2 linked regions of the Callithrix jacchus genome follow. The main gene of each other region encodes a partner of the protein of the gene in region 2 in a complex. Links are inferred from orthologs where the notes say so. Each region holds a gene or a part of one and is shown on either strand. Other genes may lie near its edges.

Evidence for each region. Proteins that work in one complex are often made in the same cells at the same time.
Region 1: the proteins of RAB8A (region 2) and RILPL2 are in contact, whole or in part, in a crystal structure (PDB 6SQ2), measured with the Homo sapiens proteins. The link is inferred for Callithrix jacchus from reciprocal best matches to the Homo sapiens genes RAB8A and RILPL2. Residues at the interface, in NP_005361.2 of Homo sapiens: Ile41, Gly42, Ile43, Asp44, Phe45, Lys46, Ile47, Lys58, Trp62, Phe70, Ile73, Tyr77; in NP_659495.1 of Homo sapiens: Leu135, Leu138, Arg139, Leu142, Gln143, Arg145, Asn146, Lys149, Ser150, Leu153, Glu157.

The regions. Positions count from the first base shown.
Region 1 is NC_133510.1:126,610,010-126,613,655, forward strand, and holds part of RILPL2 (RILP-like protein 2), read right to left. Parts: exon of another isoform or gene 3,027-3,646; intron 369-3,026; coding exon 255-368; intron 1-254. UniProt on the Homo sapiens protein: Involved in cell shape and neuronal morphogenesis, positively regulating the establishment and maintenance of dendritic spines. Plays a role in cellular protein transport, including protein transport away from primary cilia.
Region 2 is NC_133523.1:14,726,873-14,730,618, forward strand, and holds the start of RAB8A (ras-related protein Rab-8A), read left to right. Parts: upstream 1-1,019; 5' UTR 1,020-1,033; coding exon 1,034-1,157; intron 1,158-3,746. UniProt on the Homo sapiens protein: The small GTPases Rab are key regulators of intracellular membrane trafficking, from the formation of transport vesicles to their fusion with membranes.

The DNA.
Region 1 (3,646 bases), on a different chromosome or scaffold from region 2:
CCATCTGTAAAATAGCATCTACTTTGCAGGGTCACTGTGATAATTCGATGAATTCATATATGCCAAGTGCCTAAGCTACTGCCTGGCAGATATCATTATAATACACTGGCGTTGAGTTTTCCCATGAGCTGCAGCACCACAACTGGGAGAGGGGAGGGCCTGCCTGCCCTGGACAGCTGGACAGCCTCCTCTCGCCCCAACTGCTTCCTTGAGTTATTATTTAGTGGGACCGGGGGCAGCAGGGTGACACTTACAGCTTCTTTATGATTGTCTTCTCCTCCTTGCTCCTGCTGGCATTGTTGGCCCTGGTAACTACAGCATCTTTTTCTGTTCTTCCTTCTGGGCCTTCTCTTGGTGAAATCAGGCCACTGAGAAACATGGGGCAAAAATTCAATGAGTTATTTTATTACAGATCTTTTTTTTTTTTTTTTTTTTTTGAGTTGGAGTCTTGCTCTGTTGCTCAGTCTGGAATGCATAGTGTGATCTCGGCTCACTCAGCTTCCGCTTCCCAGGTTCAAACGATTCTCCTGCCTTGGTCTCCTGAATAGGTGGGACGACAGGCACCCCCCACCATGCCTGGCTAATCTTTGTATTTTTAGTAGAAATCAGGTTTCACCATGTTGGCCAGGCTAGTCTCAAACTCCTGACCTCAAGTGATCCATCTGCCTCAGCCTCCCAAAGTGCTGGGATTATAGGTGTGAGCCACTGCACCTGGCCTTTATTACAGACCTCTTATCTGTGCAGCTCTGAAAATAAAGGATCTTAATGATGATGATTATGATTATAGTAATAATATTATGGTTGAAAGCACTAGAGTCAGAGAAATTCTGTTTCAAATGAGAATCTTCCCTCTACCTTTCCAATGTGATGCCTCTTATTTCTTTCTCTTACCTAATTGCATTGGCTACTACTTCAAGCTTCTCAACCTTCTCAACCTTCTAGGAATATGACTGCGTATACATTCTCTAACTTAAGCCTTGGTTTCCTAACCTGTAAAATGAGTCTAATAATAGTCCCTACCTCAAAGGATCGAGAGATTAGGTAAGATAATACATAGTGCGTAACATTCAACAAATATTTATTAAGCTACCTGCTGTGGTTAATAAATATTTTGTCTCTGAATAAAACAAAACTAATATCTTCTCTCATGTAATTTATATTCCGGTGGGGGAAGGAAACAGTCAATAAATAAAGCAATAAGTAAAATAAAAGTATAAATCGTAAGTCAGATGGTGATAAGAGCTAGATTTATATTGATTGATATTATAGTCAGATAATATTGAGATCTGGCTCAAGGAGGGCCAGAGTATTTCCCTGGACTTGATGTAGAAAATGAGAAAAAGTGTGGTTTCCTCATACTCCACTGGAATTGCCAGAAGTCTGTTTCTAAGATTTAGAGAAAGCTTATCTGTAATGCAAACTAATGAGCGCACGAGCAAAGAAAGCCAAAGAGGAGAAAGAGAGGCACCAAGTCCCTGATTCCAACCACTGTAAATTTCTTTCTTTTTATTTCCTTTTTTTTTTTGAGATGGAGTCTGGCTCTGTTGCCCAGGCCTGAGTGCATTGGCATGATCTTGGCTCACTGCAACCTCAACCTCCTGGGTTCAAGCAATTCTCCTGCCTCAGCCTCCCAAGAAGCTGGGATTACAGGCCTGCACCACCATGCCCAGCTAATTTTTGTATTTTTAGTAGAGACGAGGTTTCACTGTGTTGGCCAGGTTGGTCTATTTCCGTTTTTTTTTTTTTTTTGAGAGGGAGTCACGCTCTGCCTGCCATGCTGGAGTGCAGTGGCCCCATCCCAGCTCACTGCAACCTCTGCTTCCCAGGCTCAAGCGATTCTCGTGCCTCAGCCTCCCAAGTAGCTGAGATTGTCTTGCTAATTTTTGTATTTTTAGTAGAGACGGAGTTTCAACATGTTGGCCAGGCTGGTCTCAAACTCCTCACCACCTCAAGCGACCTGCCTGCCTCAGATTCCCCAAGTGCTGAGGCACTGTTTCTGGCCTTCCTTTTTTTTTGAGATAGGGTCTTACTGTCACTCAGGTTGTAGTGCAGTGGCATGATCATCGCTCACTGTAACTGAATTCCTGGGCTCCAGTGATCCTCCCACCTCAGTCTCCCAAGTAGCTAAGATCATAGGCATGCGCCATCATGCCAGCTTATTGTTTAATTTTTGTAAACATAGGGTCTCACTATGTTGCCAAGGCTGGTCTCGAATTTTTGGCCTCAAGTGATCCTCCCACCTTGGCCTTCCCAAAGTGCTGAGATTACAGGCTTGAGCTAGCCATTGCACCTAGCCCCTACCCAGTGATGTTACCAAAAAGTTTCCTTTTGTGTTTAAGCTAGTTTAAATTGGACTTTTGTCACTTGCAACCATAAGAAGCCTGACCAAAATGAAATATTTCAATTATGGCACAGTACAACTCATTACATCCACTTAGGTGTTCTGTTGCAGTGCCCACTGGTTAATTAGCCCTCGTGGTGTCCCCTTGCTGTGGACTGAATTATGTGTCTTTACTTATTTATTTATTTTTGAGACGGACTCTTGCTCTATCGCCAGGCTGGGGTGCAGTGGGGCGATCTCAGCTCAACTGCAACCTCTGCCTCCCAGGTTCAAGTGATTCTCCTGCCTCAGCCTCTCGAGTAGCTGGGACTACAGTGCACCACCATGCTCAGCTCATTTTGTATTTTTTTTTTTTGAGATGGAGTTTCGCTCTTGTTACCCAGGCTGGAGTGCAATGGCGCGATCTCAGCTCATCGCAACCTCCGCCTCCTGGGTTCAGGCAATTCTCCTGCCTCAGCCTCCTGAGTAGCTGGGATTACAGGCACGTGCCACCATGCCCAGCCAATTTTTTGCATTTTAGTAGAGACAGGGTTTCACCGTGTTGACCAGGATGGTCTCGATCTCTTGACCTCTTGATCTACCTGCCTCGGCCTCCCAAAGTGCTGGGATTACAGGCGTGAGCCACCGTGCCGGGCCATGTATTTCTTTTCTTTTTTTTTTTTTTTTCTATTCACAAAGAAAAAGCTCCAGTCCATCTTTTAATTTTTTTGAAAAATTCCTGACATTACAGAACTAAACTGAAATGTATTAATATTCCACTCTTACATTTCCATGACAAACAGAAAAATTCATGAGCCAAAATAAAAAAAAAAAAACCAGGGAGAAGCTTATAAAACTAAATATGGATCTCAGCATCAACAGCTGAACAGAGAAAGGAATTAAAATGCTTTAATTAAAAAATCACGAGTGGATGATAAAGTGTGTAGAAACTGAAAATTTACAAACTATTTAAAACCTGGAATCGCTGACTGTTCAGAAACTACACAGATGGATCATGGGTGGTGGTGAACAGCAGAAAGGGATTATGGATGAATCTGCATTGTTATAGCTGCTCCCCATGCCACCCGTCACCAAGGAAAGCCTGACATTGATTAGATATTGAGCCAGGCTAATGCTGGCAGCAGATCCAGTGATGGTAACCTGCCTATCAGTAGATCCTTCCACTGGGTTCGCAATTTTGATCTGCGCCCCAGACATCTGACGGATCTCATTGATTTTGGCGCCCTGACGCCCGATTATGCAGCCAATCAAATCGTTTGGAATGGTGAGTTCATGAGAAGTAGTCTGAGCGGATGCATCCAAACC
Region 2 (3,746 bases):
TCGCTCTGTCGCCCAGGCTGGAGTGCAGTGGGGCAATCAAGGCTAGTGGAGCCTCAATCTCCTGGCCTCAAGCGATCCTCCGCCTCGGCCTCCAGAAGCGCTATGATCACAGGCGGAAGCCACCGCGACGGTCTGTTTTTTCAATGTTGAGAGGACCACCAGACACAGAACCGCCGACCCTAGATAGGACCCAGCATCCTCACTGCCCTAACCCGCAAGGCTGGCCCGGACAACCCCTAAGGCGGCCGAGGGCGGGCCCTGAGGGGGACGGCGCGCGCCTTGGGGCACAGCTCGTGGCGGTGACGCCGCTCAGGTGGCGGAGAGCTTGGGTATCTCTAAGCAGGTTGCCAAGCCACAGCCGAGACCTCGGATCTCGCCTCGGGGGTCACTTTTCGATTATACAGCGCTTCCTCTCTCCTTCCTCCCTCGGCTCACGCTGCCCCGGCAGACCACAGACGTATAAAAAAGCTCTTCAGTCCTTTCCCGCGCTCGCTTCGGCGCCTACTGAGGCTGCGCGAATTGTGAGGGCGAGACCCAGAGATACCCTCCCCAACTATGCGCGTGCGCCCTCTGCTGGCGCCTAACGGACCTCCGGGTGCGCGTGCGCACGCACCCCAAGCCCCGCCCACAGACTGTCGGCGCGCGAGCCGTTGGCGCTGCTCGCTGCTTTCCCTCTCCCATTTTGGGGCGGGGCCGGGCCGCCGAGTCTGTGGTGGAGGCAGGGGCCACATAATGCCACGCCCCCGTCTCGTCCCCCTTTGAAGCCCCTCGACTCTTTACTGCTGGTCAATCAGAGCCCGTCCTCATATCAGTGCTGGCCAATGGGAGGTACGCTCGGGCTGCTTCCGGCTCCGCGCTACGCTCGCCCCCTCCCCAGGTCTCCCCGCGGCGGGCGGGACTCAGGGGCGAGTGTCGGCCGCGGTGACACGCTGCGGGCCTGGAGCCAATAAGGGGCGGGCTCGGCGCTGATGGACGGGGCTGGTGGCCAGTGGATAGGCGCTAGCTGCACTTCCTGTCGGGGAGAGAGTGTAATATGGCGAAGACCTACGATTACCTGTTCAAGCTGCTGCTGATCGGGGACTCGGGGGTGGGGAAGACCTGTGTCCTGTTCCGCTTCTCCGAGGACGCCTTCAACTCCACGTTTATCTCCACCATAGGTAGCGGGATCCGGGAGTGGCTAGGGGCGCCGGAGGCCCGGGCTGGGCGCGCCCCTGAGGGGCTGGGGCTGAGAAATCTACCCTGCTGGGCGGGCCGAGGGCTCTGAGAGGGTCGAAGGGAGAAGAGCAGCCGCCTGCACCGCCGTTTCGGGGTTCATGGGCCGTGGCGGGGGAGACCAGGTGCCCATTTTGCAGATGGGGTGACTGAGGCTCCCATCCTCAGCCCGCTCGTTAGGGAGTGTTATGTCCTGGGCAGGCGTCTTCGCACCCGTCCTTTCGGTCTGTCCTAGCAGCAGCCCTCGAAGCGGTTCTTTTGCGGTTCCTGTCTTACAGAGGTGGAAACTGAGTCATGAGGAATTGGCTGTGGGAAAAAGACGGTGACATGTCGCCTTAATGAGCAATTGCTATGTGCCAAGTCCTTCACGTGCATTTCCACACTCTAGTTTCGGTGTTTTAAGTGCTGTTATGAGCCCGTCTCACAGATGAGTAATTTGAGGCTCAGGGAGGGCGTGGGACTTATCCAAGGCCACACAGTCTGCAGGTGGTGAGAATGGGATTTAATGGAATTTAATCCTGGCTGTGTCTCACCCCAAAACTCGAGGCTTAGCTCTTCTAGAGAGTTAGCACCACACACCCCTGGCTGATGACAAACTCAGTTAATGCACCTTGGAGCCGGGACTCTAACTCACACCATTCCTCCTCTTCTCTGGAGCATCCAGAGGTTGAGTCCCTCTCCTTGCCATGTTTTCCCCCATAAGTGTATTTTCCTCTAGAAGAAATGATAAGAGGAGTCAGGACCTTTTCCCTGCCTGCCTTTTATCCTGCTCCAGGATGACAGCAATGGCAAGTGACAGTGCTGCCTGCCCTGGGACCTGTCATCCCCAAGAAGATGCAAGATAAAACCCTCAATGAGAAACTAAATCAGCCACTGCCACAGACAGCCTTGACTTCCCTATCAAAGGGCCCAGGACACCGGTTGTCAATTTAGAACAGCTTTTCCCGTAGGGCCAGCCCACATCGTGGTTGAACAAAATTGGCTTGTTGTGATGTCTCAGTTGTGATGTCCACAGAAGTAGAGTTGACCTCTCTCAGCGCCACAGAAGCAGTCCTGGCCCACGATGAAAAGGTTAGACCTGGGAGTAACACCGATCAGAGTGGCCTGTGAGCTCTGCAGCCCTGCTAGGGATGGGGATAGTGAGGGAACGGTCACTAAGTCAAGGAGTTTATTCAAAGTCAAGAAAACATAGAGAATGGCCTTTGCTTTATGTGTGACTTCAACAGAATCGTGTTATCTCCCTAAATCTCATGATAATGTGCCAATTCCATTCTTGCCCCCCTCGAGGAGCTGCACTTTATGAAACAGTTATATGCCAGATGTAAAGTAGAGAGAATTAACTGGAAATCATCATGTCTGGTTCCTAGTTGCTGCTGGCCCTTGAACGTGCACTACCCCTCTCTGACCCCTGCTGTCTTCAGAGCAGGAGTGACGCTGTCTGCCTGGGCTAGTGCCCTGGTGGTTGAGGACTAGAATTAGACAATAAGGGGTTGTCATCACAACCAGAGGCCATCTAGAGAAAACAAATGAATGGCTCCTGTGGTGACAGCTTCCACCCTCTGAAGACAGATGTTTCTGAATTCTTCCCCCTCCCCCACTCCAAGGCCAAGCTTTAGGGTAACCCTTGTGCCCCAGCCAATCAAAAAGTGGCTTTAATTCAGCCTGGACGACAGGGCAAAACCCCATCTCTGCAAAAAATCAAATGAAATTAGCTAGGCATAGTGGCTCACCCATGTAGACCCAGCCACTTAGGAGGCTTAGGTGGGAGGGTGGATTGAGCGCAGGAGGTCAAGGTGCGGTGAGCTCTGATGGCGCCACTGCACTCCAGCCTGGGCAACAGAGCGAGACCCTGTCTCAAAAAAAAAGAATACAACTGTGGGCAGACTGTGGCTTGCATTTACCCAGTTCCCAGTTTCCTAGCCTCAGCACCTTCCCCTCAAACCCCCTCTTTAGAGTTACTTTAAAGCTTTAAAGAGGCCATCTTCCATTTGCAGATGAGGATATGACTTGGTGAAAGTTAACCTAGCAAGGTGACCCCAAGATCCCTCCCTCCCACCCCAGCGTTCCGCTCCTTCCATTTGTAGCCTTCTGTCTTCTAGGAAAGTCTAATTCACCGTGACCTTGAAGTTCAGGCCTCATAATTCTTAGGTCTCATAAAGTTTGCACTTCCTAATTAAATTTGGCGTGTTAATAAAACCCAGCAGGAGTGTAGGGCAGAGCGCTACTGTGGAGCTTAGCCAACCTAACAGTGCTCCTTGATTTTGTGTGTCCCTGTGCACGCATGGCAGGAGGTGGGGTATGCTTTAGGAAGCCTAGGCACACTGGGCTGTCTAATCCTGAAGCAGAATCTCTCAATGCTTAAAGACAATTCCATAAATTAGCCAGACGTGGTGGCACTTGCCTATAGTCCCAGCTACTCGTGAGGCTGAGGCAGGAGAATCGCTTGAACCCAGGGGGCAGAAGTTGCAGTGAGCCGAGATTGTGCCACTGCACTCCAGCCTGGGCAACAGAGCGAGACTGTCTCAAAAAAAAAA